3 linked regions of the Coturnix japonica genome follow. The protein of the gene in region 3 purifies or fractionates together with the protein of the main gene of each other region. This does not show direct contact. Links are inferred from orthologs where the notes say so. Each region holds a gene or a part of one and is shown on either strand. Other genes may lie near its edges. The genes, in order: NUP214, NCBP1 and XPO1.

Region 1 (10,379 bases), on a different chromosome or scaffold from region 3:
TTAAAACCTACACATTCACCTCAACGATCCTTGTTCTTCCTTGCTTTGTAACCAACCTTTTATTTCCCCTTTAGACCACTGCAAACATACTTAATAAAAAGTTCTGCAAAATGACAGAAGCTACAAGCAGCATGAAAACCACACAGGCAGAGTGAAATCCCTAATAGAATATGGCTCTTTTAAACTCATAATTACCCCAGTTCTGTGAAACACAAACCTGAGGTGCCTTCCACTCTACGTCTGTTACTGCAGCATCCTCATCTGCAGCAAGCTTTCAGGAAGAACTGTACCTAATATCTGAATCCTTACAGAGATGTAGTTGTGCATGTGCTGCAGGCTTCCCATAGAAATGCAGGACTGATAATGTGTTAGTCCCACTTTCAGAATAATCCTAAAGCACTGGATTGCTTCTCAAGAATACCTCCTATATTGCTACCACTAGGCTATTTCACAAGACTAACACGACTTACTGATCGGGATAGGCATGTTATTAGTGTAGTCTACAGCAACACCAACTGGCAAAGTATCATCACTTTTATCTGTCACAGGAAGTTCTGCTCTGCTGGAGTCCTCCAAAATCCATGATTCCCAGTTCTGCAAAACAATAATAGATATTATTCTGACTACTGTTTTCCTGTGCTGAACCTTCTTTAATACATTTGTCTATTACGACTGAAGGACGAGACGGCAAGAAGTCTGGAGAGTATCCACCTGAACTAGTCAGATAAATAAACAACAGAAGTACCAGAGTCCCCCACAGAATTGGCTGTCGCTTCTTCCACAGCACTGCATGTCAGATTTGAAGTCAAACTCAAGAACAATTCTTCATATTCTACTTCAATTGACAACCTCATATGAGTCACTTTTTACTACAGTGAATTTAACCACATTTTTAGACTACCAAGTAAATAATGAAAAGCAGACTTGTGGAACTTGGTTCACAACATACAGTCATTCTGTTTATCCTTCCTGTAACTCAGATCTTGTGTTCTTCTAAGGCTTACATTTACCTTAATATTCTGCACAACCTGAATGTTTTGGATTTTATTTGCTTGGTTTTGGTGTTTATCTTTTTGCTTTGCTTTTTAAAAGCTTACCACACTGTCATGTTGCAGGTCTTACTAAAGATTTACTTGTTTAGGCTTTCAAGAAAAAGGAGGTATGCATACATAAATGAAGCAGGAAGAAAAGCATTACCTGATCTCCTTGCCTAGCAAGAATGCTGACTTCTGTGGAAGCGGCCGAAGCTGCCAGAATTAGATCCCTGTAAGGATGGACACCAGTAGGTTACGAGATGCATAACAATCCAGGCAAGGTCTCTAGCTCTGCAAATCATTATTACCTATCCAAATTCATAAATAACAAAAGAGTTACAACAGTATGAAGCAGACTATTCCTTCCCAGGATGAAGGAAACACATTTGGCTCTGTCTCTGTAGAATGGTTGCCTTTTTTTTTTTCCTCCTTTAAAATTAGTCATCAGTGTATGTTGTCATGAAAATAAAGGAGAAATTACACATACATTCATAAAACATTCTCAAAGTGGCAATTTCATTTGGCTCACATTCAGGTCTTATATAGCTTACAGAAGGGAGAGAAACAGACTATTCAGACATGCATGACAAGGGAAAAGCTTTATCATGATTCTCACAACCCACCATTCCTCAACATAGTTGAGGTAGTAATGATGTTGTCTTTCAGCACAGCTTCCATAACAAGGCTCCATGAAATTCACAAACTTCTCTGGTCGCTTCTCTTCCTTTTTCTGAAAGACCAGCATTAATTATTTACTGCCCAATGTAGAAATTAAGTAACATCCTGTAAATATGGCTTCATCAAGGTACAGTAAACTCAAAATCCAAATGATGGCAATATACACTGTGCCATTGTCACAAACAGAAAGAACAAGCAAGAAACTTCTCTGTAGCTGTGACTTGTTGGAAACTTACGGGCAATATTGCTACAACCACTTCAGGAGGTGTTTCCAGCGTCCCATCAGCAGCAGCATATACAATAGCAAAGACATAGGTGCCAATCCACAGCACATCCAAAACTGGAAGAGAAGGAAACAAATACCTCAGTCAGATACACACCAAAACACTTCCTTGTAGTGTGAGTTACAATGTACAATGGCATTGCTAGCAGATAAGGAATCACTAACTGCTAAACAACAAAGATGAAGAATCATTAATCTAGCATCAGTCATACTAGGAGGAATTATGTAACCAGGGTACTATGAATGTGATGTAACAAGCAGTAACAGTGGATGAATGAGTGAAAGTATTTTAAAGGAGGAAACAAGTTAAAAATAAACAAAAAGATGTACCTTTAACAGGATTGTCTGCCTGATAAAAGGGAGGATAAGGGATTACCTTCTTCTCTTGCAGATTCTGCAAATAAAAACACTCTTAAGTACTACGAAAAAAGCCCCCAAACAACTAAACTGTAAGTTTCAGAGGAACTCCAGAGAACTGTTTTATAGTGACTCACTCCCTCATTAACACTCATCACGTGCCATGGTTAACTCACTACATTTAAGTGGCAGATGCACACCTTAAACTAAACCCAGCACTGGTCTAAGACACTTTAATATTACTGAAGTGCTTGGGCATGGCTCACAACACACGCCACCCAACTCAAATTCTGTACACTGACATGCAAAAAATTGAAGCATATAGCAAACTAGTGAGTGTCTTAGTGACAACACTTACAGGCAGATACTGTACCACAGTGCCATTTTGCCTCCCTACAGCCAGTTGTTTTCCCTTCGGGCTCCAACACACTAAAGAAAAAAAGAGAACTCCATCAGCATTAAGGAAATGTAGAATTACGAGGTCCCTTAAAGCAGGGCCCATAAATTAAAACTGCATTGTTTTTCCTCTGCAAAACCCTATGGATACAAATACAATTCCTGTGAATATCATGGTCTTGTCTTCTAGGTCACAAACTGAAAAAAGAGCTGAAATTCTTAAACCTCGTACTAACTAAGCTGCAAACATGTTTCAGCTTCACTCCCGTGTGCCCCTGTGCAGCTTTATATTGCCCTATAGTGGAATATATCCAGTCACATTTCAAGCATACACTTCAGTTGACACGAGTATATCTGGACGAGTTAAAACTATAGACAGAGGCCTAAGAATTATATTAGAGTTGTCACAAAGGTGCACCAATTTTGTTAAACGTGGGAGAGAGGAATACAGTCAGTGGCAACTATCAGTGTGACTGTATTAGCAGTTTTTTTCATAGTCTTAGGGAGTATAAATCCTGATCACGATCTATTTCAATTTTTAAGAAACTTCTTCCTGCGACAGAAAGCTTGTCTTCTTACAACTCTCTTTCCACTTTTATTCTTAACCATCCAACATCCCGTATCTTACCCAAGGCTCAAACTCACCAGAGGTAACAGCTACCGACGGAGGCAATGTGGCATAGACTTTCACAGAGTCTGTGACCTGCAGGACAGAGATGCTGCCATCGGACAGACAAACAGCCACCATGGTAGGACTAGCAGGGTTCCACTTCAGGTCATTGACCATTGCTGTACTTCCCGAGTCCTTGGCCAGCTTGTGATAGGCAAACATACGCTTCTGCTGTTTTGACTTTTAGGAAAGAAAAAATGTTTGAGCTCAAAAAGCATTTATCTTAAAGTCATAATCCAAAACAGTTTTGGCCCACCTATAAATTAACAGCTGACAGAAATAAGTGGGATAATGACTTTAAACCAAAGAGGATAGATTTGGATCAGATATTAAGAGGAAATTATTTATCTAGAGGGTAGCAAGGTACTGGAACAGGTTGACGAGAAGTGTTGGACACACCTTGAAGCATTCAAGGCCAAATTGGATGGGGCCCTGAGAAGCCTGGTCTAGTATAAGGTTGGAGCTAGATAATTTTTAAGATCTCTTCCAACACCCAAACCATTCTATGATGCTAAGAAGCAGATTTTGAGTTTAATAAACAACTTCTTTACAAGATACCTCCCACAGGGGCAGAAAACACCTCTCAAGGCATGACAATACCCCAGATGTAGTCGGGGGGAGTAAAACAAAACACTGTGGGTACAGTTTACCTGATTAAAGAACGTGCGGACATCAAAAAAGCCAATGAAGGAACCAATGTCACTGGACATCATACAGACAGACAGTGTGAGATTATCACAGCTTAGTGCCAAGTGCTGCACTGGAAACTTCACAGGAACTGAGGTACCCTGGACATTCTCCACTTAAAAAGATGAAGAGGAGGAGAATGAAGTGAATGGATTTAGCAAAAATTTTTAAAGCAATAGTTAAAAACTTATGCAAAATTCACTAAAGTATTATAAATAGCAGCTGTAAGAATTGATGCAGAAAAATTCACTGAGCGAAAGCAGATCCCTTCATCTCTAGCAATACAGTCTTAGAAGTCTCAAACTTCTTAGAAAAGGAAATGACACTTTCATTCCTCAGTAACCTGGAGGATAATGAAGTGGACGCTTTCCAGGTTTTACTCGTGGTACATACACAGGGATACTTCAAGCAGTACAGTCACCAATGACAACATGAGAATGAAAACCAAGCGGTTCTTATTGCTACTGAGTTTTTATAGCATTAAATGCACTTAGGTAGTGAGGTGGCAGAACAGACATCAAGTCCTCTCTTGTAGGATAGTCCAAGTTTATTTGGGGTTAGAACCCTGCCCCTCTCTCCTATCACAAACATCTCTGATATACATGTACGTTTATGGTTAGAGACTGGTTACTAACAACATCTGCAAAGACTGCGATGTATGAACGCATCATACCAATGTTATTGGGATCTTCTCCAAGCTGATTTTGCATGAGAAGATCTCTAGTGTGAAAGATCTGCAGGCTGGTTCCTCCACCAGCGAAGACGAGGCCGTATTTGTTAGACACTACAAGGAGACTGGACCGCTCTTTGGGAAGATCATCAGGAGGATCAAAGATGCGAACCTTCTTCAGAGCTCTGAACTGAAAGTCCTGTTGGAAGAGAGTTCAAACATAGCTTTATGTATGTTGGGGAACATAAATGGTTTACTTCACTTTCTCTGAGATCAAGCTGACAAGTGTCTCCATGAGCTGCAGAGCACCCATACTGATGATATCACTGATGATATCACACCTTATGTTTGGCCTACAAAAGACTGAGATCACAGTGTTGCTGTTATTGGAAGCACTGGCTGAAGCTCTCTTGCATACAGCAGCCTGCTTTCATAAACCTTGTAGGAGCTCTCAGAAACATCCCTGAAACCAGCCAGTGGATAGGGGAGAAGAAAGAGAAAGAAACAAAAAGCTTGTTGCCTAGGAGCTACAAGGCACACAACTATTTAGCTGTATCTAGGCTACAACAACCAGCCTATCATACAAAAAACAGATACAGCTATCCCTTCCACCCACCACCAGCAATTGCTCAGTACAGACTTTGTGCATTCACTTCTCTCATCACTTACACTGTTTCTATGTAAAATCACACAGAATGACCCGGGTTGGAAGGGACCTCAAGGATCACGTAGTTCCAACCCCCTGCCTGGCAGGGCCACCAAACATACACCTTTACTAGATCAGGTTGCCCATGGCCCCGTCCAACCTGGTCTTGAACACCTCCAAGGACGGGGCATCCACAACCTCCCTGGGCAGCCTGTTCCAGGGCCTAACCACTCTCCTAGTGAAGAACTTCCCCCTAACATCCAACCTAAATCTTCCCTCTTTTAACTTAAAACCATTTCCCCGTGTCCTGCTATTGTCAGCCCTTTCCAAGAGTTTACTCCCCTCCTGGCAGTAAGTTCCCTTCATAAAAGGAGGAAAAGAAAAGCCCCCCCACACCCCTACCAACCCAATAGGCCCCAATGACCAAACACCCACCCACCCCACCCCTCAGGGCCCTCACAGCGCTCTGTAACCCTCCTCACGCCCACAGCCCGACCCACCACCCCCCCACAACCCCCCTCAGAACCGAACCCACCTTCATCTCCCGCTCGGGGACCAGGTCTCCATCCTCCCCCATGGCGGCGGGATCCCCGGGGCCCACCCTCACACCAGCGCACAATCACGGAACTCTGCGTGGAACCAAGGAGCCCCCGCGCGACGCCGCGCTTCACTTCCGCTTCCGGCGGGGACGCTCTAGGCAGCGCCTCTCTATGGTCGGTGGAGGCCGGATGTAGCGGCAGTCCTCCGGCGGCCATAGGCTGAGTTAATATTATTGCTAATTAATAAAGCCTTGATTCCTTGCACTACGCAGCTGCTTCTCCTACAGCACAGCGGCTGTCGGCATTACCGAGGCCCCATTGCAACCACTTAGGGTGGGCACTATCCATGCTTTGCCCGCAGGTGGTTGGAAGCACGTGGATATGCAAAAGCAACGACCTGAACGCAAAGAAAACATCCAAATCCACCCCCCGTCCCTCCTTGTTTTATGCTGCTGACCAAACAACAGCGTTCACACCTCGCCCAGTACAGCAGGTCCATTCCCAAAGGCAGCAGATAGTGCTGTGAGCTAATGGCAGTTGTTCCTATTGAGGAACACATACATAAACATAAATCACAGCCTGTTGTTCCCTAGGAAAGAACCGGACTCCGTGTTGATAACACAACAGATAACCTCACTCAAGCCATTGCTTCAAGAGCAGAGAGGATGCAAATGTAATCAGGAAAGAGCTGCACGCATCTGCTCTCCATAAACACCCATTAGAACAAGCACTGCCACTTGTTTTCCACCTGTTTTCTTTATAGAAAGCCAGGCTGGTTTTCAGGAGTTACCCTCTGTATTTCATAACATGAACTCGCAGGCACTGGGTCAGTTCTTAATGATAAAAATCACATCAAGGCAGTCCAAACCTATCTCCAGGATCTGATGGAGGGGGTTTATATTAACCAACATGGAAAACAGCTCAGCTAATCTGCAACCAATCTTCTGGACCAAACTTCAGAGAAACACAACTAAACACACTGACACTGTGTGGCTTCAGGAGGTTTATTTTCAGTTTTTAAAGCAGGCTGGTGCTGCTCTTACAGTTTTTCCTCTCCATTACAGTTTTGGTTTTCATGCGGACAGTAGTGAGAATGTTTTCTTCTTTAAAAGTGCAGCCTTTGGCAGGAACAATAAGCTTAGTCAAGTTAATCATCTGCGTTTTCCTTTAAAAACTATTAAACTGATTTTAAGAAGCTGCCAAGAACGTTTAAGAGTAAAGGGGGGAAAGGGCAAAGAGCAAACATCTGGATTCCAGAAGTTGTGCATAGATTTACTGCAGTAACCAGAGTGTGGGCAGCACAGCCCCTGCGCTTAGTCCACACTCACAGCCATCCTTTGTAAGCTTTAGGGTTTATACAACAGGGAAGTATTTCTGGCAGTCCCCACAGGACTGAGCTGAAACACATTCAGAGAGGTCTGCAAAGTCAAGGAGAGCAGCTGCATGAAGAAAGATCCTCATTCACAGCTGGTTTGGGAAAGCTCACAGGGCTCACAGTTTGGTCACCTTGCTTCCTTACAACTGATGCTCCAACCTCCCCCCAAAGCCTTCCTGAGGGGCTGCAAAGGCATTGTTATGTAGGCTTATTTCTACATTTGGACAGACAGACACTTGTTCAGCAATGATGTTCCTGGTCTGATCCAAGTTGTTTTATCAGAAAGGGGATCCCACAGTAGCTTTAATCATCCCCACTTGCTGGCATAGCTTGCCCCTCTGCAGATCAGCTCTCACTTTCTGCTTGCTTCTTTTGCTATGGCTGATGAACGAGTCTCATAGGCCAAGAAAAGCAGAACAAACCCAAACCAGGAAGGGGCAGGGGGAAGGGCCTAAAGCTAAAAACAGCAATGTGCCAGTGGCTTTTCCTTAGATGAAAACAGACTTTGCAGAACTTATTCCTGTAGTTGTGGCTCAGTTGGATTTATGCATCAGGGTTGCAGAGCCACCCTTGAGTTTGTCTGCATTTGGTTCACAGCATCCCATGGAGGGGTCTTGTCTTTGCCTTGTAACCAGCAATTAATACAATAGGCACAATTTCTAATCTCATTTCTAGTAGGAGCTAGCAGGACACTGTCTGCATGGTTACTCACAGAGCATGTTCCTGCTGACAGGTTAGCTCTGATCCTGTCCTAAGGCAAACTACAAAGGAAGGGCACAGAAAACTGGCCTGAGAACAGAAGGGCACAGTGGCTCTACAGCCTTTCAGGGAGGTGGGGACTTCAGGCAGTGACTTTTGCAAATCTAAACACCTTTGATAAGCACTTGGTTCAAGGTGAAGCCCAATGAATGTCCTTTAGCTGCTAAATTCAGTGAGAAGTGTTCCCTTACGACATCCCAGCCTCAGCAGCTGACAAAGGTCTTCCAGAAGTAGAGGACCCAGGCACATCAGAGACATCCCATGCTGATTGTGTAGAACTTGCTCCTGGGGCTGATGAGGACACAGATCCAGGACTAGGATCTAGACTCCAGTCAGGAAGCATAGGACAGAACAGAAGGCACTTATTTACACCCATGAAGCCGCTATCTGATAGCAAAGCTCTTCAGGAACCTGTTGTGACAAGCACAGCTCTGAATCCATCAGCTGGGTAGAAAGCTCCTTCTTAGCTGAGAAATGCAAGAAGGGCAGAGGAAAGAGTTAAGATCACTGGTTTTTTTGGGGTTTTTTTTTGTCTCACATTATACTACAGCTTCTGTCTAGAAAATCAAGTTAGCTAAGGGATGCTGCAGAAAGATGCAAGCTGGGGTTACCAGCTTCCCTTGCTGTTCCTCTAAGGCAGGTTAGTTGAAAACTAGGACTGTTCACAGTGAAGAGTAACAAAGCACAGGTAATCTCTGTTACAGACCAGCAAAGCAAACAGTGCCAATTTTCCAGCCTGTCTTCTTCAAGGGAGGCTGGCTATATCTCTCTCCGGAGGTGGACCGGAAGGTCTTGGGTTGCTTTCATTGGCTTTTCCTTCAAACATCATGACCCTGCAAAACAATAAATAATACATATTAAAAAAGCAGGTGTATCTTTACTCATCACTGAGAGTGGGATTATCATACCTTCTATGCTATGGCAATCTGATAATTACAGAGGACAGAAGCCAACAGAGGGCAGTGCTGCCAGCTCAGCCAGCAGCTTTGCTTTTCCAGTAGCTTCAGGGAGCGTGTTCCCAAAGCCTCTGCTGGTTTTCCTCTCAGAGCCCATAGGATTAGCATGTTTTATTTAGACAGCCACTTCCGAAATCCCCCTGGTGCACACTGCGTGCTGAGTGCTCCTGATGGATAACAAGAACCACCCCTGGCCCACCTTGTGCATAACCATCCAGCAGAACGTGCAAAAGCTAAATGAAGCAACGGCAATTACAGCCAGGAAAGGGGGCTGATACAAGGAGCAAGGCAGTAGCTTGAAGAATCCCAAGCATTTTGCAACAACCAGTGCTGTCTTCCTCCCAAAGGACTGCAGCTACGCTGGGAATGCCAGCTGCCAAAGTGGATCAAAGGAGTGCACTGCTCTTGGGACGAGTTTTACATTTCTGCTCCTGCTCTAAACACTGCTCAACACACAATGGGGCATCTGTTTGTTAGCGAAAGAAGGGACCCATCTGTGAAAGCTGCTGCAGTTGGGAGGAAGAATAGACGATACGGGGCTGGCTGCAGGCTCAGCCTGCTTCAATGAAGAGCAGAGCAGAGTTGTCAGAAGAGAGTGTGCACTTGGAAAAGGGGCATCCCAACATGCAGACACACACAGGGTTCTGAGTGGGAGGGAAGAGACTGCCAAAAGAATGTAGCAGCTCAGAGAGAACACACTCCAACATCTTCCTCCCAACCTGCCCAGAAAGCTGGCTGCCTTTTTAAAGCTGCTTTCAGAAAGGGGCAATGGGGCATAGAGGGAAGCGGCTCCTATTCATGGTGCTTGCAGACAAAAGCAGGATCAGCTTCTGTGGCTGAGAAAGGAAGAGGCAGGCTTCAATGGGGCGGAGATGGAGCCAAGAGAGCCCACTCTGCTACCAGAAGGAGCCAAGTAAGCGGTGGGAAGCCATTTGTTACAGCAGGACTTTGAGAGCCCTGTTGAGAGGGCAGAGGAGGCCGTGGGAGGAGAGTGCTGACAGCTGGTAGCAGAGCAAACCTCCCCCAGCACAAGCCAGCTGTCCCAAGCTGATGTCTTCTATCCACCTACAGCCCAAGTTGCAAAGAAATCAGCCAGGGAGGGACCATCCTGTGGGTTATAGGAGTCATATAGACCATCTTTTACTGCTCATGTCCTTCCTCCTCTTGCACAAGGGCCCTCCTCTCCCACTGCACCCACCCAACAGGCACAGCTCCAGCTCTGCCAGACAGCAGAGATTCTGCTTCCCATCTCCCCCAGCATCTCCCCCATCTCCTCATGGATGGCACTCACAGTTTAAGTACAGCAGAGCGTTTGCCAAGCATCACATT
Region 2 (10,279 bases), on a different chromosome or scaffold from region 3:
TACAGCATCCCTATTAACATTAAAAGCCTTCTGCACAGAGATCCCACAGTTCTAGGAACCTTTCTAGCTCTAATCACTGGCATTACGTGATTTTCAAACAATGTGTCCTTTTGGCCAAGAAGGCCAATGGTACCCTGGGGTGCATTACAACAGGTGTGGTTAATGCACTGAGGGAGGTGATCCTTCCCTTTCCTGCCCTGGTGAGGCCATGTCTGGATTTCCATGTCCAGATGCTTCCACTGAGAGCATCTGAGTAGGAACTTGTGCAGGTTCATTTTAAATGATCTGCTATGCTCACACAGATTAAGTTTATCCCTTCCTTTCCTTCTCAGCCTTCAATATGCAATCAGGCCACACGTTATGCAGTCCTAACAGGATACTAGAACAGCAACTCTTTGGAAAGTGAAAGGAGTACCAGCGTAGTGTTCAGAAATCTGAGTAGTCTTGCTCAGTCACCCAGACTAGACCGATGCTACACGGGCTGTGCTGTTCTTTCATGCAAGTATTACAAGCAAAGCCTCATATGGCAGCTGTAAAATAGATTACTGACAATATTTATTGCTATTTCTTCACCTACAGAACAAGTGGCATAAAGACTCCATTTTAAAAATGCTCTCTGGAAACAAAGGAAGGATACAACTTGTGGTAAAGAGCCAGGCTGAAGCTTGCACAGTTCAATCAGGAGCGTTGTGTACATGACCTCGATGTGTGGTGGAGAAGGAAGCTGAAACAACTCTGCAAAAATTACCTGCAGGAGAGGAAGGCATAGAATCAGAGCACAGTCAGCTTCAGATCAGCAACATCAGCCTTAAACAAGCACATACTCAAATTGGCTGTTATTATTCTGTCAAGCAAAAGGAGAAAAAGGTGATGCTTACAAAGACAGTGGTAACTCTACATCATATTAGAAGATTCTAAACCACTCTCATCGTTTTGTACTAACACAACACAGTCCCAGCATTAGACACATCTAAGAAATACATCTACATTATGCTCTATTTAGCGTTACCAAATGGTGCTGGCAAAACAAAGTGGGAATAACCTGGTTCTACTAAACAATAAACATTAAACACATTAAGCAAAGCCTAAGTATACAATATGAAAGACAACCAACATGAAAATTAGACAGTACTTTTTCACTCTATACTCTATAAGGAGATGAACTCCATCGAGAAAGCTTCTGGGTCTGATAAAGATGGAGGACTGCTATCCACTCCTGCTCTTTCAAGATGAGTTACATGAGGAAGCCACAAGGAAATGACAAAAACACGATAAGCTCCTCCCTTGGGATACAGAAATATCAGGAACACAGGTAGTGTTCTCTTCATTCTTCTTGGCTGGAGACTGTGACCCACGTGGATGCAGTGAAAGGACCATGCCAGTGACTGGCTGCAGGAATGGTATCAATCTCAGGGTTACGGGTTCTGTGATTCTGGACACACCTTCAAGAGATTGGGTAGGCTGACATTGGATGGTATGCAACTGTTGGGACAGAGCAACAATTTAATGGGCAGAAAGCTGGCTGGGCTAAGAGAACTTTAAATAAGATCTGATGGGGGAAGAGCTTGTACTTTTAAGTGACAGAGAAGAGCCAGGAAACACTGTCACTTTAGAAAGCAGCAAAGAAAAACCTCAGATCTGTCTCAGAGGGCTCTTACAAGAAGGCATCGTGGCCAACAGCCTGCCCAAAGTACCTCTACACCAATGCATGCAGCATGGAAAATAAGCAGGAGATGACACCATGGTGCAGTTAGAAACTGTGATGTAGTTGCCATTGCAGAAACATAGTGAGACAAGTCACAACACTGGAAACACTTCAGCTGAGGGCTGCAACGTTTCAGAAGACAGGCAAGGAAGGAGTGGGGAAGGAGTTGCTCTATAAGCACAGAGTGTGAACAGCTGCCTCTGGAAAACAGTCACAATCAGGTTGAGTGCTTCTGGGGACCATACCAATAAGGGACCTCTGGTGGTCAGGCTCCCTGATCAAGGAGCCCACTGATGAGGTCTTCTTGCTTTGTCTGCAAGAGATGTGTGGTCTGTCCCCATTCTGATGGGGAATTTCAACCACATGGATGTCTGCTGGAAAAGCAACATGGTGAGCCTTAAGCAATCCAGGAGACTTCTGCAGTGCTACTGAGGACAGCTTCCTTGCACCAACAGGGGATGAAGCATTACTGAACCTGGAGCTCACTGATGCAGTTGAAATCATGAAACAGGTTAAGACTGGAGGCAGCATGGGCTATAGCAACTACATCCTGTTTGAGTTTGTGATTTTAAGGAAGATGGGCCTGGCACAGATCAAAGCCGGGACCCTGACATTCAGGAGAGTGACATTTCATCTGTTTGAAGAATTACTGGATGGGATCCCCATAAAGCTGTTGTTGTGGACAAAGGAATAGTACAGAGCTGGCAGCAGTTTCAAGACAACTCTCCATCCCCAGCATAAGAAATCTACTAAGCAGAGAAGGCAGGAAACTGGAGATGATATGAGACGGCAAGCAGAGCTTCACCAAGGGCCAACCATACCTGACCAATCTGGCAGCCTTCTGTGATGGAGTGACAGCATCAGTGGACAAATGAAAGGCAAGAGATACCATCTACCTAGACTTCTGCAAGGCCTTTGACATGTTCATAAAATAGTTACAGTTGGAAAAGACTTCTAACGTGCTCAGCTCCAACCACCAATCAATCACCACCATGCCTACTAAACAACATCCATCAATGCTGCATCTACACTCTTCTTGAAAACCTCCAGGGATGGTGGCTCCACCACCTACCTGGGTAGCCTGTTCCAATGCCTCACCATCCTTTCTGAGGAAAGGTTTTGCTTAATATGCAACCTAAACCCCTTCTGGTGCAACACCACACTACATCCTTATCCCTAAACTAGAGAAATACAGATTTGAAGGGTGGTTAAATAACTGGTTGGATGCTTGCAGCCAGAGGATTGTGTTCAGCATGTAGAGGCTGGTGACTGACTGGTGATCCCCAGGGGCCCATCCTAGAACTGGTGTTCTCCAACATCTTGATCAGTGACCTAGAAAGCAGGGTTGGCACAATCAGCAGATTTGCTGATGGCACTATGCTGAGTGGTGCAGGTGATGCAGCAGAAGGAAGGGATATCATCCACAGAGACTTTACAGTGCTGAGAAGTGTGTGCATGTGAAACTAAAGCCACAGTACACAGAAGCCATTCTGTTTCAATTATGTTGTTAAGAAATGTATGGTAAAAAGGCACTGGGGAACACGTTAAGTACAGAGCTACTGCTCTCAAGACAGGAAACAACAACACTTGGATGACAGGTCATTAGCTATTTGAGATGCTGCTTTAGATGATAATTCTGATATAATTCACATGCTCATTATCAAATATTCATGTAAAGCATTTCATGCAGTACCAAATTTTGTGGAAACAACTGAGTGACAAGAAAGGTCAATACACTGAGAACCTGAACATATAAACTTTGTCTGGCCCAAGCAGTACCAAAAGCTTTACAAGTACAACAGGTAATACTAGTTTAACAGCCTAGTGACGCTGTGCAGACAATCTCTGTTCACAGCCACCAGTATTACCCACGTAAACTTTAATAAGAAAGTACTGAGGAAAAGGCAACACGTTTCAGAGTCCTGTGCATGGAGCATTCCATGCTTGAGCTGACAGACTACAACATGGAGCTTCACGGACCTCAAAACTAAGTGCATTTTGGGAAGATGCTGAGCAGCATCAGGCTACATTTAGTTCTGTCACTCTGTTACTTTCTGAACCTTATATAACACCTGTATTTGTTAGACTATGTTATTTCTGCTGTTCTGAGTTGTATTACAGAATGTATGAGAAAATTCTGCTGAACTGCTGTTGAAAGCAACAAAATACTAACCTGACTATTGAGAGAGACCTTATAAAGGAACAGTAGCAAGCAGACTGTTCAGAAGCTTGTAAAATACATGCTATGCCTTAAAGCTTCTTGAATTTCATTAAAAATTCACAGTCATAGGCAATAAAATTCTAAATAAAGTTCTAAAATTTATGCAGAAATTGCAGAAAAAAAGAGAATTCTGATGGTTACATTCATACAGTTCATACACCAATCTTGCATTCCTGTGCAGACATTTCATCTATGCAGACTTGACCATAAGTAACACAACTAAACAGCACTTTTATTATTTGTCATTTTGTTGCCAGCAGGAATTCTCAATCCCATCCTATTAAAATAAATCTCCTACAGAAGATATATTTATTGTTATAATTAACTACAAAATTCTACTTGTAGTTAGTTCTTCATAAAGCCTTAGGTGACATGAACAAGGTTTTAAACAGCCCTGCATCCTAGAAACAGACTCCTGAAGGCTGGCAGCAAGAGAAAATCTGTACTGTTTTTCTGATACATCATCTAAAATGAAAGGTGCCCTGGAAGAAGCAAACCACTGTACCATTACAAGCTCTTTTCAGGACCAGGACAACAGAGTCAATATGAAAAACAAACAAAAAACCAACACCACAGCAAAAAAAGAGCCACAAAAGAGATAACTCATAAAATACATACCTCTACTATATGATAGTTCAAGGGTATCTTGTTATTTCCAGGATAGCTCAACAGCTGAGCAGCACTGCAGAAGAACGGACACATTTAGTTCAGTGTAACACAGCAAACGTAATGTAAAGATTAACTAACAAAGTTATAGGAAATGTTTAATTCTCAGCAGGAAGTCACACAAGTCACACAAAAGTCATCAACCAAAATCCCTTCCAAAGATTGCCAATAACACAAGATCACACTAGCACATTTTTACCTCTGGCAAACTAAATTTTCCTCTTTTACTTTGTCAGAGGAGTAAGAGATTATTCCAGTGCCTGCAACAACCCCGATTCAAGAGAATAAAAAAAGAAATTGCAAGCAAATAACTTCACCAAATTCTATTAAACATTGGTTCTGACCATTTTTACACACTACACCAACTTTGGTGGCTTTCACACAGAAGTATGACACAGGCAACTAATTACCCATGGCAAACAACCTCACTTCCCACATCAGCCTTTACCAAAGCAGAAAGGAAGAAACATGGCTTGACTGGTTCCTGGCACTTCCAAATTCAAATAGCAGAAATCTTATGGCTCTGTAATGGCTGCTCAGTTACCTGAGTTCTCTCTCCCATGTAATCCCAAAAATAAAGACTGCAGTAAGGAGCAGGCAGCAAAAGCACCTTCATGAATACCAGCTATAGATAAACTAACTAAAGGTTCACTGCATCTCAACAGATCAGCTTCTCTTAAATTCCAGGAAGCATAATATGACCACACACTCCATTGGGCTTCATGGGAGCATAAAGAGGTAGGTGGGTCTGTGTCAGTTTTAGCAGCATGTTCTTCATTATCAACAAATTCCTTTCCCAAGGGGTCACAGCCACTCCAGCCCTGTGATTGGATGGATTCTTCACTATCACTACAGCCCCACAGTATTCCAAGTAACAGTTTCAATACAGATAACCATAGTGAATCAAATGCTCTAGGGAATGTTTAATCTCTAGCTCTTGTTTAACCAGTCCAGGATTCTGAATATCCCTGATGCTACCAAAGCCATGTTCTTATATAAAAAGTGCCTGGGCTCCATAGTGCAAAGCTCTTCCTACCAAGTCTTTCTCTCTTTCCAGTGGGATTTGATGATGCAGTGAAGGTTCTCTTCTATTACAAATCGTTCAACAGAATGGCTGCCAGGCATGACAGGGCCCTAGTTAGACAGAAAAAACAACAGGTGATGACTCATGAAAGATTACTGCAGTGCCACTACAGTTAGCTGTTTATAGAACAAACATGGTGAGTTCTTAACTGCCTTGTATTCTACTGGGAATGCACACTGACGACCTGTATTTAAAACAAAATGAATACGAGGATTCATTACAGAGGGAAACAAAATTAGAGAAAATAATCACAAGTTCACAGCGCACCCAGTTCTTCCTATGATCTATACAGCAATCAGGCAGTCCACTAACAGGCTGCTCAGAAGCATTCTTGAGTAAGGATATGATAAAAAAAATAGAGCAGAGAGAATAAAGTCATGATCTCACTGACTGCAAAAATCACTGGACAAAAAATGAAGGTAGTAGACCTAAAGCAAAGGGACTTACAAAGGTTCTAGGGGAAAACAGTACATACTCCTCCCCATTCCTATACAATTTTATCTATGCATCTGCTGCAGACTACTGCTGGAGGTAGTCTGTGGGGGCTAGACGGACCTTTCCCCTACTCCAACAAATCACACTTCTTTTCCCCAAAAATGTGCATCATCTTGTTTTAACAGAGAAGTAAACTGTACTTTCTAAAGACTGCAATAAATACCCAGTCAGGTAAAAGATCAAAATCTTTGTGATTGCTATTATGAGAGACATAAGAGAATTTATTCAGCACTGTAATACTGAATCCAAGCATTGGAAAAATTTCACTCCCTAAATTCTACTCCTCATCGACTTCCTTTGCACTGTAACTTTGTCATCCAGTTCATTTCTGCAGATGCACTGAAGTATAATTACTGCACATCTTCAAAGCACCAACTATTCTGGGAGAAAGGACATCATATTTTGACCTGGGTTGTACCATGACACTACCTGCAAAATCAGTTCACCCTCCCCTGCAGGGGTTACGTACCTCTGGGTCATCAGTGTAGTCAAACATCCTAAAAATTACCCTTGGCATGGGATATACTGAGTCTTCAGTGTGAGGTGGAGGAGTGAATGGTGGCAGATTGTGTTGCAAAGCCTCACAAAGAATGCTATCAAAAGCCAGGTAGGGCCTCAGAATGTGTCGTTCTTGCCAGCGGTCTTTTTTCAACTTCTGAATCTGAGACCAGAGGCAGTCTAAATACTGAAGGGAAAAAACAGTGAAAAACATCAGATGTGCTGAATCCAATAACAAAAGTTGCAGCTTATGGTGCAATCAGAAATGCATGCCTTAAATTCAGGAAAAATAAAACCCAAAAACAAAACAACAAAACAAATTTCTTAAATTACTTCTTGTGGGATCTAGTATTTATTAAATCAAGAAATAAACCAAAAACTAAACATCAGAGCTGCTCCCAATTTCACCAAATATCCTGTTAACAAAATTTAACCACTGTTCTTAAACAGCAAAAGACAGTCCAGGCAAGCATGACAGCCACCCTTTGAACACATCTGCAAGACTACAGTCATTTCAGTCAGTGCTCACAAGTGGTATTCAAAGAGATTCGGTATCTGTACTTAAAAGTGAAGAGACATTCTGGAGAACCACCATGTTCAAAAGTACCAGCTGCTGCATACTGAAGACAATTGCAATAGTACCAACAATTAAATATATTTGCTATGATTTTCAGATCAATTGGAAACCCTAACACTCTCTCAGAAATGGTACACACACTTAATTGTAATACTAGCTACATGTCTACTTTGTCCAGCTGCTTTCAATGCCCCTGCTAAAAGCAGGCTCAAGAAGTCTGGAGGCCACAGACTTTAGCAATCTGTGTGTGGCCTTACTGAATGCACGTTTTAAGGTGAAAAATCTCCACAAAGAAGTCATTTGCACCACTCTATGAAATGGAAAAAAAATACGAACAACTAGCACCTGATATGAAAAGTAACACTGAAGGTATGCTGGACATCACAAGCTCTAAAATGCTTTCTGCTAATCTCTTTTTTACTAAACTAAATGAGAAAACAGATATTGCGCAAGAACAGTACTCATGATGAAACAGTCATTATCAGAAATCCTATTTCTTCAAATTGGCATTAACAAGACAGTTGTTAAGACTGTTGAGATTTAAAAACAGGGATTTGATTTAATCAGAACAGAGAAAAATGTACAAAGGATTACTAGTCAAAAAACTCCCTGAAGATACACTTAATTTTTAATCACACTTTTCAACCAAGTTTGCCCCCAAACTTGGGGGAGGAATAAGAAGAAAAACAAAAACCAAAACCAGAGAAGGTAAACTCTACACCAAGCTACACAGATACCACCTCCACTCTGTAGTATTTTTACTTTAATTGAAGAAAGATGGCACAGAAGCTGCTGAGTACAGTTTCTGTACATTTGTTTAGTACTTCCTAGTGCTGAGAAAGCAAAGCCACTTTAAAGACTCCTTCCTAGCAAAGAGAAGACACTATGGGGCATGGAATTACACTTTGCTTTTCACAAAAGTAGCACGAAGCCTTCTATTTGCAGTTCCAAAAGCACTGCCACAGCTTACAGCCATTCTTCATTTAGTAACACCTAATACTCACCCCATAACATGCCACAACTTAGGTCTAAGATTTAGACAGGAACTCCTTACCTAGAACTTGTTTTAAATAATGACAAACAGGAGACAATTAACAGCACAAATACTTTCAGAGGTACCTCTTAATCTTCTAGCTGTCTGAATAGAAGCTGCCTGTGCTTCTACCACAACAGATTTTCAGACTTTCTCAAAGAATACAATACAGAACCCACTCACCTCTTCCTGTGGATGCGGTTTATCAGCAGTCCAGACTTGTAACATTGGAACGTGAATCTTCTGGCGGCGTCTGTTTACACAGAAAAGAAAACCTAACCCTTAACAGCATTTTTAGTACAGTCACAATAAGGAAAAAAAAAAGAAAAAACAAGTACCCTACTACTTAATCTCTTCAGTTGTTGAAGTCTAGTATGCAAAAGAAAAAAAAAAAAGAGTTTTAATTATCATCTCTGCAATCATATCCTGAGAGCAATCCTAACTTGAATCACCTAGACAAAATCTAGTCTCACTGCACAGTACTAAGGTAACCTTTCAGTATTTGCAGCAGTTACTGCTACAGCTGTCCCAGCACAAGCTGGACAAGACTGTCACCATACCCTAACAATAGACAATGCAACTAAACTTTTAAATTTTAAAAGGTAGATTACTCCATCTGTCCATTTTTACAGTGTTCTTACATTTCTCCATGCATTCTCCCCCCAATCCCAACGAAAACAACTTAGACCTAGGACCTGGTATTTTTTAAATGAACACTAATCAAGGTTATTGTTATCCTGAATAAGTACTTGAAGGAATATTTTACAACTTACTTCAGATAGCTTTCTGTTTGTGATAAAAGACGATCCATCTCAGCATCCTTTTTTTCATACAATTCCTTTCCAACCCAAGGTAAAGATGACAGAAATGCGAACATATACCAGTCACATCGTACCTACAGGAAAGAAATATTCTGAGACTTAAGCACACAACTAAGCTCTAGAAGATTTCCTACATACATTCCATTTTAATTTAAACTACTGCTTTGTGGTGACACAAAGATCAGCAGCTGAAGACTCAGTAGGTAAGTAATGAAGAAAAAACATACATTACTGCTAGAAATGTACAACTTTTAACTTGAACTATGACAATCAGGCTTGAAAACAATCACTTTCACAGTCTTCCTGCAGTTATCTTTATATTTTGAGTGTAAACAAACCTGGCAGAACAAGCCAGGCACTGTGCAGCTGCCAAGGTAAAGTAAGATTCATTCAGTGCAGATACCTCACTATGGAGGCTCACACTTCCTTACTATACATAAGTATTTCCCAACTGCCAGGGGCCACTTTCACTCATATCAAGGAACATGCAGATGCCAGTCCATCTAGGTTGCTGTCTCTAAAACCATCCTGTGCCAAGCATAAGTACAAAAGCAATGGTAAAGTAATGATGTCCTTGAAAACAGCCCTGGAGGAGCCTACAAATCTTTGACTTACTTGTGGTACGTCTTCCTCCTGTGTCACGCTCACAAAGTTCTCAAACATAGCTACCATCGAAGGTGCAGCTATGACATGACAATTCACAAGATCAGACAGAAAACGAACCTAAAAAAGACCAAAAAAAGTGTTTTCAATGAAAGTATTTTAGCTGGCTGCTCGAGATAAACACTACTTCAACAACTACAACCAAAGATACAGGTAATCATTCAGCACTAGGAAGGCAGAAATACTGCATACTGTACAGGTACCCCTGGCAACCACAAGGAACAATGTAAGCACAGTCAAGCACAGTTTGCTCATTATAATGTCCATGAGGTCCATAATGTCTGTAACATCCGTAATAACTGTAACACTACAACTCCTAATAATGGCAGGGTGGGAAACACCAATATGCATTTAAAGGCATGCAAGCACGTAACAAAACATATAGAACAACCACATTTTCTCTTCCCCAAGTGTAAAACAAACAAACAAACCCACAAATGCCTTCTTAAATGCTGAAGTTGGATTGATCAACTTCTTCATGAGTCCAGAGGTGAACCAGAAATGGCATCATTTAGA
Region 3 (10,279 bases):
TTTTTTAAGGCCAGCTAAGTCAAGCAACAGATTTTCAGACACAGAATGGGACCAGTACTTAGGACTGGAAACATTCTGGTTACCACAGAATTATACATTGAACACTGCTATCTCATGCACTTCTACTTCAAAATTAATGTACAGCACAAAATTACCTACAGCTTACATAAAGCACCTCCACAACTGTCTAACTTTGTTCTACAGCTCTGCATTAATTGTTATGCTTTGCATCACAGTAACAATCCTAAAACCAGAGACCAAATAAATGGAAAGAACAAAAAATAATGAAAACCCATGGGATACTTTAATGTCAGCTCTTAGAGAACAGAAGTGAGATGCTGTAAACATGGGGAAATCAAGACTGTACACCATCTTAGTGTTCACACTGAAGTTTTCTCACCTGTATTTCAATTTCATACGTCTGTGAAAATTATTTAACTACAAAACTTTAGGTAGAAAAATAACTGCACATCTGGTCTATATGTGTTATTAATATGTACCAGTATGAATTTCTAGTCAAGATACAGTTCAATAACTCTTTGGAATAGAACACAAAGAGTACATATATTGAGAGCAAGAATACCTTATTACTGGCATTCTATAGCAATGTAGTATGGAGTATTTTTAGTCATGGTGTTAAGTCAAAACTACACTTTCAAATAGAACCCAACTTGTTTCATGTTAGCTTTCAAGCTCAGCCTTGAGATCAGGAGAAATCAGAAAGAATGGTAACCTAGACCTCAAGGACCATTTCCTATGCCTTCAGGATACAAACCTTTAATACGATCACAGCATTTTCATCCAATAAAAGAATAAGCCGAAGAAAGAAAAATAAATGTAAACCAAGTTTATTTTGCTTTTAAGTAGTGTTCTTTAAGCACTACAGCATGGTAAACAATGTAAATTAGTATAAGTCATCTCAAAAGCCAGAGGGTTTTTTTATTTTATGAGTAGTTAAAAAGATGCAGCCTATTCTAACAGGATAAATATTTTAACCATTTCACTTCGAGTTAATGAAGGCTCACAAATGAGCAACACTCCTCATTGAGGAAAACAAAAAGCTGTTGTCGACAAAGCGACAGCACACACACAAAAACAAAAGAACTGTGTAAAAATAACTAACTGTACTGTGTTCCCATACGCTTTAGAAGTTGCTTTACAATGGGATGATATGCACATGATCTTGCTGCAAACTTGCCATACAACTTGCAAATACATGTAAGCCTAGCCTTTACCCACTCAAATCCAAAAAGCTGCTAATTGATCAGAAAAATTGCAGCACTATAATCCTCTGCTTAACAATTAATTAAAACTGTTTTACTCATTACTTTTTCTCCTAGACTGTAGAGCAGGCTAGAAGGAAAATGATCCCAAATTAAAAATTGATACTCTTACAGGAAATTGTATAGTTTTGCAATATAGTCCTTTACAATTTATGTTTTGCCTATTTTCCCCTTAGCCACAAAAATGGGCATGAAATAATTACTTTGAAAATGCAATAATTTTCAATTCATGCAATTCTAAATAAAGATGACCAAACAAAAGCTTAAACAATGGAAGGATATTTCACAGAAAATTTCTTATACAAAAAACACATAAGAAAAGAGGGCCACTAGGTGACATTTTAATTTACAAATTGGCGTCATTTTGGTCAACAAATATCCAAGTGCCGTTTTCTTCTGTCACAACAAAGTGGCTGCACAGAAAGAAAACTGCAGAACTTGTTTTTTAATCACACATCTCCTCGGGAATTTCATGTGGATTAAGGATGCCAGGTACAGACATCTGAAGTTTATGTTTCTCCTCTTGAGCTTGTCGAAGGGCTGTTTCTCTTTCCTCCAAGAATAAATCTGATGTGTCTTCACCTGCAAATTCCTGCACAATTCACACAAAACCATTACTTCACTTTAACTGCATCAGGAAGAGCAATAAGCTTCTGAAAATATCAAAAACAATGTTGGTAACATCTTCCCTTCGCATCCTTGTCAGACTATTTCTTGTTTTGCTTCCAGCATGTAAGATCAGATTCTAAGACAAAAATTTCTAAGATATTCACCATGCATCATGGTACAGTAACATTGCTTTTTGTTTGACCTTATCATTAAAACAGTCTCTTTACAGTTTTTGAAATATCTACCTAACGTAGCCTGAGAACATCTTTAACATGTACTTTCGTACAATCATCTTTAATTTTAGCATCTTTGGAAAAATAAAAGCAGAGCACTAGTCTGTCAACTTTCAAAACACACCCTAGTCCCAAGCAGAAATGAAACAAGATCTGCTTTATGGCCATTTTAGACCTGTAAGTATGACCAATGTATAAGCAACAGCATGCATTTAAACTTAACCTATACAATTAAATTACACTGAAATGGATTACATGATCCAGTATCTAGACCCTCGAGCCATGACAATTTTAAGTAGTAATAAAATGTATGCCCTATTATAAATGAACACCGTCCAAAAACTTAAAAACATCATCCTGCTACATATTTTTTACAATTCTCTAAGAAACCATGCCAAACATACCTTGATTTGGACCAGGAAATCCCTTAGGTGCTCCTTGAAGGCAGGAATATCCTGGTTTAAACTGAAGAGTCCTGTTACAAACAGCTTAACCTGGGCACTAACAGCAAATACATCCATTAGTACTTCAGTATGTAAGTATCCACTCAAAAGTATAAGACAATTACAGGACACTTACTCTTGCAGATGAGGAAATGCAGATTTGAGGAGATTAGCAACGTATTCTTGAATAAACATTTGGTTGTTCACTGGATTTCCAGGATTCAATGGAGTACTTATTTTTCCCTCTTCTACCAAGTTGAACATGTATGCAAGGATTGATGCATGCATTGTCAAACCTGAACAGATCAAAATTATACATGTTATTATTCAGAACAAGAAATGCAACATTACTATGATGTTTGAAAGGCTTGTTTTCACCTGGTTCACAATCTTACCAGCAGTGTGCGAAGTATCTGTTACAACAGAGAAGATGTGCTGAAGGATATCACAGAAATATGTCTGATAGAAACTCTGAGCAGCAGCCTCTTCTTGTGCAACATTTTGTAGCAGAGTGTAAAGTATCTGAAGTCCTGAAAAATTTGCATAAAAGAAAAATGAACCAAACTATACCAAAAGCTCCATTCATCCTTAAGTCTTTTCAAAGTGAGACAAACATCCCAAGAAATTCTGACAAGCATTGCAGTTTAAACTAATCATTCAAGCAGCCAGTAGAGGGCGGCAGCCACATTTATACTGAGCACCAACATGGTTTTCATTATTAGAAGGCAGAACCACGAAGAGCCAACCACATGATTTCACTGGTACAAAAGTGAGAAACTCTATGAAGACATACTAGTTAATTCAGGAAGGGAAAAAATCACACCAACAGTTACCTTAATACCTGAAATGCAACACAAAGGCATCTTACAAACATAAACAATTAGCTAGTATTGAGGTAGCTTCAAAACAATCATTTTTATCCTGTGGTTGAGATGCTTTCAGAATTTATGACATTTACACAGCTTTTCCTAGCCTTTCTTGGGAACTCTCATCCTAGAGGACATTTAATTACTCAGGTGTGCTAAAAATAGCTTCTCAGTGAAACCTGAGATGAAGTGTAACTTGCTGTTGTTCAAAAGGAGTTTTCCTTTAGTCTGGAGTACTTCCCTTGCTTTATGTCATAGCTGTCTCCCAGACCAAATTCACTCACCATTTTTCTGCTGTCTTTTTCAGTAGTAACTTAGAGACTGCCTAAGTGAGGGAAGAAGTTAAACACTCCAAACAGCACAATGAAAGCTGAAGCAGAAAACCAGCTATGAGCTGTTGCATCGGTTCAGCCATTTCAGAAAAAACCTCACACTCTATAAAGAGAAAGCACGCAGAAACAAATGCCCTCTTCTGTGAGTAAAAACATCCAACTATTTCAGTACGTTAATGGGTGTCTAGTTGTCAACTTGAAATTGAGATAGGAAAATACTGTTCTTCTGCAGCAAATACAGTGTGACTGGAACACTATATTTGACTAAAAATGCAAGAAAGCAGCAATCTACATGCTTAACACTTAAAACCTCAATTTACCTGTATCTGCAACATTTCTCATTGTATGCTTGAAAGCCCAAATAATAGAATCCAAAACAAGTTTGAACTGTGCAGGTGGAATGGCCAGGAATGCTGGGAAGCAATGAGAATTTACAGCCTGGAGTAGCAAGAAGAAGTTTGTTCTGTGTTCAGGATATTCTTCAAAGTCCTGAGAGTGAGGGGCACGGGGAAAGGTTTGGGGGGGGAAAGAGGGAGAAACGAAAAAAAAAGAACAGTCTGTCAAGCTTCCGGAATAGCTCAAAGATCCACTATCCACAGATCTCCTGCTAAGAAGAGCAAGTCAATATCCAATACAGAATAGCATTTAGATCTCAGATTTGAAGAAATTTACAGTTCCCAAATTCCCAGTGAAATTTTTCCCCACACTTCCACCACCAAAGCTTCATAAGAACATTTTCTAGTTACACATCAGCAGGCTGAACCACATTTTGTCAATATACAACTTCTATTATTACTACTTGGTTCCACAGACACAAGACAGTTGGCCTCAGCAATTAAGCACCTAGCTACTACAGGGATGCACTTTCTGGCCCATACTAGTGCAAAATGGCACTAATCTAGCCAGTATTATGCAAGTACCTGCAAACAGTAGCACAGAAACTCTATCAACTAAGGAATTCATCAAGGAAACATACAATGAACTAAAAAATTATGAATATGAGTAATGATAAGTATATATGAATTCAAGTCATTCACCCTACACTGAAGTCTACTCAAAGCATACTTCAGCTTCCAGAATCATGACATTTCAAGGTCTTGGAACAGAAAAAAAACTAATAATTTAATTTTAGGACTGTATTAAGAAATTAAGTCAATGAGACTAAGACATTCACCTGGACAGCCAGAATTCATGAACCTCAACCTAATTTCCATAAAACAGAAGTCATAGAATAACACTATGTCAACTACATACTGCCCCCTTTCTTGCAATACCCAAAGACTAGTACTCTCAAAATTCCCACCCCCTCCTTTTTTTTTTTCCTTTATCAAAAATTTACATATAATACCTTATTGATCATGTTTAACGTGCACTCAAAAACAGCATCAAATATCTGAGGTATTTCAGCAGTAATATGTCCACCCAGCTTGTTTACAATAATAGCCATAGTACTAAGTACTTCAGGTTCTCTAGCAGCTGGAACATTTCTCTGGTAGTCAATGAGAACTGCATCCAACAAAGGAGGAACAAAGTTTTCAGCAACCTAAAAAAAACCAGCAAGATACTGTTACAACAGTGCGGTTACTGAACAAAATCTCAAGCAATTACAAGGTAGTTCTGAAAGAAGCTAAAAATAGGTAGAGGAAATTGACCCCTCACTGCAAGAAAGACACTGAGGCCCTGGTACATGTCCAGAGAAGGGCAATGAAACTGGTGAGGGGTCTGGAAACAAGTGGTTGAGGGAGCCAGGATTGTTCAGTCTGCAGGAAGCTCAGGGGAGACACTGCCCTCTATAACTACCTGAATGGATGCTTTACTGAGCTGTGAGTCAGCCACTTCTCTTGCATAACTGGTGACAGGACTAAAGGGAATGGCCTCACGTTGCACCAGGGGGAATTCAGGCTGGATGTTAGGAAATACTGCTTTTCTGAAGTGGTCAGGAACTGGAATGGGCTGCCTAGGGAGGTGGTTGAGCCACCAACACTGGAAGCGCTCAAGAAATACTTAGATGCTCTGTTGAGGGACGTGGTTTAGTAAGAACTATTAGTGACAGGGGGACAGTTGGACTGGATGATCATACATGTCTTTTCCAACCTTGGTGATTCTGTGATGATATGTTACATAACCATATACTCCCCACCCACAGTATTCATCCAGCAGTGGTTGCCTGAGGACTGTCTTACACCTTCTTACTTTCCCTTAGCATTCCTCTCAGCTGAAACCGAAGCAATCAAAATACAGCTCAGGCCTACCATCTGTATGATCACACCTTATCCTTCCTTCATATACTGCAGTTCTGAAACTAGTTTCTGTGAACAGAACAGCACTGACAGCTCCTCAGCCAAAGAGCAGAGTTCTTCCTGATGTTGTTCTATGAATTATTTGTTTTAATATGAATTTACTTACCATCTGAGGATCATTGGACCTGCTCACCCAGCCAGAAATCAGTTTTAAAGTCTCCCTTTTCACAGTCCTCATACTTCTAATTAAGGGCTGCTTTGTTACCATTTCACCTGAAAAGTTGTAAGGCTTCACTTAATCTAGGTAAGATGTGCCAACAAGAAGACTTTAAAAATTCAGAATGTTTCATTTTTATAAAAACTACCTCCCCGTTATTTCAGTAACATAGGTCCAAGTTGCAATTTGGTATTATGACACTACTACTGACTGCCTGCACAACTCAAAAACAAAGCTGTAACTTACCTTTCCAGTAAGGGAATACTGCATGTTCATTTAACCACCTGGATCAAGCTTACCTCTGTCTCTTACTTAGTGACAAGAAGACACCAAGTTATGCAGTGTTTTAAAGCAAGCTCCTGATTTTGTCACAAACTTTATAATTCAAACTTGTCTTTACTACAAGGAGCATAATTTTTATTTCATTTTCTCACATCCAAGTCAATTAAGTCTCATCAGTAAAACCTGCCCTAATTGAGTGCATGGCCACACAATTATAACAGCATATCCAAGAGAAACCCTGGAAGACCGCGGTCAGGGAAACAAAGGTAGAACTGCTACTGCAGGCATCAGAGATAACCAGTTGTAAGAACATACTCTGAGTTAAGTGCAATCACAATAGCTCTCGCCCTAGTAAAATCTCAGGACTACAAGTCCTAGCAACTGCTTCCCATTTTGGTTGTTGTGTTTTGCTTTTGTTTTAAATAAGAACAAGTTCTGTAATAAGAGCTGCAGAGTTCAGAAATGTATTGACTTCACAGGCACTTTTATTCTGAATTCAGAGAAGCGACTTCAAGGTCAACCAGCTGTTCAGTGGTTAAGTCCAAGCATTCACTAGTATTATTATTTGCATGGGTAAGAAAATCTTTTGTAAGACAGATCCAATATAACCAATCCATTTCATCTCATCAAGAACTACTACAGCAGCACATTCTACTTAGATATCATACAACTCTAACCTATCCAGTAAAAACTGGTTAGGTACCTTAGGTCATTCTCTTGCCCCCCCCGCACAAACAACAAACAAAAAACACATGCACAGTAAGATAAGCCCAGCTGTAATGAACTTCAAACCTGATGACATGCACTGTCAATCCCATTAAGAAAAATATGAGATTTCTTACCATTAGCCTGAATAGCTGCAGAAATATTTTCACTTAGGCACTTGTACACATTCAGCATATCTAAATAAATTCTTCCAAGCTGAATCACAAAGGGGTGGCCAACTGCTTTGCATGCTCTTACATTGGTTTTCAGAATGCTACCAAGCTGCTTAACCGTTTCGGGATCCTTCAGAATATCAACATTCTGTTGAAAAAGTTTAGTTATTTCCATTTAGTCAAAAAAAAAAAAAAAAAAGCCACTTATATTCTAGTACAAAAATGGTCACTTGCAAGAATTTATCTTACACACTGCTAAGGGATTTTCTGTGAAATTCTTTACACTGGATTTAAACCACTCTTAAGTCATTCAAGTCTTCTCTTTTCAAACAACACTTTTACTGTCACATCAACCATTGCTTTATATAAGTACACCCCAGCTAACTTCACCTAATTCCAGGAGTAAAAAGAACAACAAACCCCAAAACAAACAAACAAACAACACAGAAACAAACATTCAGCTGTTTTATTTTAATTGAATACACTTAAAATTTATGGCCTTACTTTTGTTGCCTGCTGAATTATGCTGTCCCATACTTGATTGGGGAGCAACATGTATTTTTCTATCAGATGCTCCTGTACAGTCTGGTCTGTTTGTGCCCCAATCATGTATCCTACTGCTTCATAGAACGTATGCACCTGATTGGAAAAACAAGTCAAACAGAAAGGTTAAGGAAGACTACCCAGAAGTTTACCATGTTCAAAACTAGCAGGTAGTAAAAGCTGAAAATGGGTTTCCAGTGAATAAACATGTACTTCCCACTTGAGTTTACAAGATCTTTCTCCACCTTTTCCTTACTTACACCACATTTAAGGTAAGCCTCCATTCCCTTCCAATGTTACTATCTCAGAGACCTCCTTCATTTTTACCTGAAGCAATTTCAGGCATATGCTTTCTCTTATGATACAGCTCCATTTATTTCTTTTACAGAACTTTGAGCTAAATCGAGTGCAGAAAATCAGAAGTCGGAACTTAATACCTCCTCAGCCCAAGGTTTCCAAGGTTTTCACTGCAATGCATCAGCTGTGCATGCACTACACTCTGTAAGAACACATTCTCCCTGCAGGTATGCTCTTGCCACTGGACACGCAAGACCCATAAGTATGCTATCACAGTAGAATACTCTTCTTTGCTAATCAAAACCTCAAAATCAGATTTACTATTATTTACTTGTAGAAGCATTCCAGAAAAAAGAATTTCAACTCGGCACACTTTAATTCTCTTTTCAAGAATTCTAATTAAGGCCTTAATAATGTAACACAATCATACCGTCTGTAACATAACATTCACTAACACACACACACACTCACACAATATGACTAAAAAATACAATGCAAATCTTAAAAGTCTACTATCAAGTTTCGTTATGTCACAACTTTTTACTCATCTTCACAAACTTACAGTCCTGAATTATATGTACCTGTTGTGGCTGAAGGTCACAGATGATTGTATTTATATTGTTCAAGATTTCATCAATGAAAGGCATTACTTCTCCCACTTGAACCTGAACAAAATGTCGGCGGCACTTTTGTGCTATTTTAATGAAGGTATCACAAGCCATATCCTGGACACCATCATGGGTTTCTAAATCAAATGAGATCAGTTACTGTTTTGAATTTTCCCCCAGACATGCACTTGTACTCGGCATCAAGAAAGTCAGAACAGCAAGTAGAAGAGATAGTTACCATGCATAAACTCAAATAGCTTGTTGACTACTGTCTTCAAAAACTTCCAGTGAGCTCTCAAGAAACGTGGGTATTGGCCTACTATGTACATAATATTTGATGCAATAATGGCTTTGTTGTCTTTTCCTCTCTTTTGTTCACAGAGTCCTAGGAGATCCTACAATGTAACATATTATTAGTCACCTCCCCAAGTTTGTAGGTTAGAAGAGCAGTATAAAGGCTAAATTAAGCTATCATAATGATGCGGTAGAGTAAATGCTATTATTAAACTCCAAGCCAAATTGATTTAAAAAATAAAAAACAAACAAGAAGAGTTAAAGATCAGGACAATTCTAAGTTTCAGCCAAATCTAGAACAACACCTTTTCAGCCATGTGTTTTAAATGTAATTAATGACGTATACAGGGCAGACTACAGCAACCCTCAGTGTTGACTACTGACCAATCAGTTGATACAGATAAACATACAGGTATTGCACAGCAAGTAGGGGAAACTAAATCCTCTCTGCAGTATTTTTATGATGTAACAGCAATGCTTAATTACTCCTGTAGATAACATTTTCTTCCTGTACTCTTTCCACACACACATTTACTAAACATGAAGTGAAGAGTGCTATTTGGTTAAAAACAATGCACGTTACTTTGCTTCATTAAGGCTACTCTTACTTCATTAGTGCTTTTTTTCCATATCTTCTGCATTCCTAAAGCAAAATACTTCATCATAAGCCAAACTTTCCTCTCCAGAATTTTCACAGTGAAAAGGCTATTTGAATTCAAGCATTTTTCATGACTGAGGAATTTATCGACCTAACATTCAGTATATGGTATTTCCCATCAAATTATTTTCATCAATATGTTTGCTGTACAAGACAGCTTACTGAAGAATGTAGAGCAGTGTCTTTTTAAGCTCAATTTCTTGAGCATAAACTATCAAGTATGACAAAGCTGTTAGTTTTGTAACACAATACCTTAATTACTGTAACAAGGAATCTTTTTTCATCTTCTTCATGCATTGCTCCACTGATTGAGCCTATAGCCCAACACAGTGTATTCAAATTTTTCCATGACCATTCTGTCCCATTCACTTGATTATGAAGTTTCTCTGTCATTATTCGTTCTGTGTCTGCATAATCCAGATGCGTAAGATACACTGAAAGAAAATTAACAGTAAAAGTAAGCAAGATTATTTTTAAGTTAATTTCTAAGACAAAA

The links.
Region 1: the proteins of XPO1 (region 3) and NUP214 purify together in Homo sapiens (affinity purification with western blotting; 4 studies listed by BioGRID and IntAct, with this or other methods). This does not show direct contact. The link is inferred for Coturnix japonica from reciprocal best matches to the Homo sapiens genes XPO1 and NUP214.
Region 2: the proteins of XPO1 (region 3) and NCBP1 purify together in Homo sapiens (affinity purification with western blotting; 3 studies listed by BioGRID and IntAct, with this or other methods). This does not show direct contact. The link is inferred for Coturnix japonica from reciprocal best matches to the Homo sapiens genes XPO1 and NCBP1.

Annotation. Positions count from the first base shown.
Region 1 is NC_029532.1:4,673,417-4,683,795, reverse strand, and holds the start of NUP214 (nuclear pore complex protein Nup214), read right to left. Parts: upstream 6,136-10,379; 5' UTR 5,999-6,135; coding exon 5,957-5,998; intron 4,975-5,956; coding exon 4,779-4,974; intron 4,221-4,778; coding exon 4,069-4,220; intron 3,599-4,068; coding exon 3,394-3,598; intron 2,782-3,393; coding exon 2,711-2,781; intron 2,390-2,710; coding exon 2,326-2,389; intron 2,053-2,325; coding exon 1,949-2,052; intron 1,765-1,948; coding exon 1,658-1,764; intron 1,265-1,657; coding exon 1,198-1,264; intron 595-1,197; coding exon 471-594; intron 1-470. Other genes in the region: AIF1L (allograft inflammatory factor 1-like), read right to left, coding at 8,840-8,927, 10,342-10,379. UniProt on the Homo sapiens protein: Part of the nuclear pore complex. Has a critical role in nucleocytoplasmic transport.
Region 2 is NC_029547.1:62,566,566-62,576,844, forward strand, and holds part of NCBP1 (nuclear cap-binding protein subunit 1), read right to left. Parts: intron 9,824-10,279; coding exon 9,716-9,823; intron 9,175-9,715; coding exon 9,053-9,174; intron 8,533-9,052; coding exon 8,463-8,532; intron 6,857-8,462; coding exon 6,641-6,856; intron 5,727-6,640; coding exon 5,629-5,726; intron 4,609-5,628; coding exon 4,545-4,608; intron 749-4,544; coding exon 638-748; intron 1-637. UniProt on the Homo sapiens protein: Component of the cap-binding complex (CBC), which binds cotranscriptionally to the 5'-cap of pre-mRNAs and is involved in various processes such as pre-mRNA splicing, translation regulation, nonsense-mediated mRNA decay, RNA-mediated gene silencing (RNAi) by microRNAs (miRNAs) and mRNA export.
Region 3 is NC_029518.1:5,212,544-5,222,822, reverse strand, and holds the end of XPO1 (exportin-1), read right to left. Parts: intron 10,218-10,279; coding exon 10,036-10,217; intron 9,227-10,035; coding exon 9,070-9,226; intron 8,969-9,069; coding exon 8,805-8,968; exon of another isoform or gene 8,315-8,804; intron 8,023-8,314; coding exon 7,888-8,022; intron 7,532-7,887; coding exon 7,348-7,531; intron 6,280-7,347; coding exon 6,173-6,279; intron 5,310-6,172; coding exon 5,115-5,309; intron 4,256-5,114; coding exon 4,087-4,255; intron 3,099-4,086; coding exon 2,964-3,098; intron 2,865-2,963; coding exon 2,705-2,864; intron 2,627-2,704; coding exon 2,530-2,626; intron 1,876-2,529; coding exon 1,729-1,875; 3' UTR 762-1,728; downstream 1-761. UniProt on the Homo sapiens protein: Mediates the nuclear export of cellular proteins (cargos) bearing a leucine-rich nuclear export signal (NES) and of RNAs.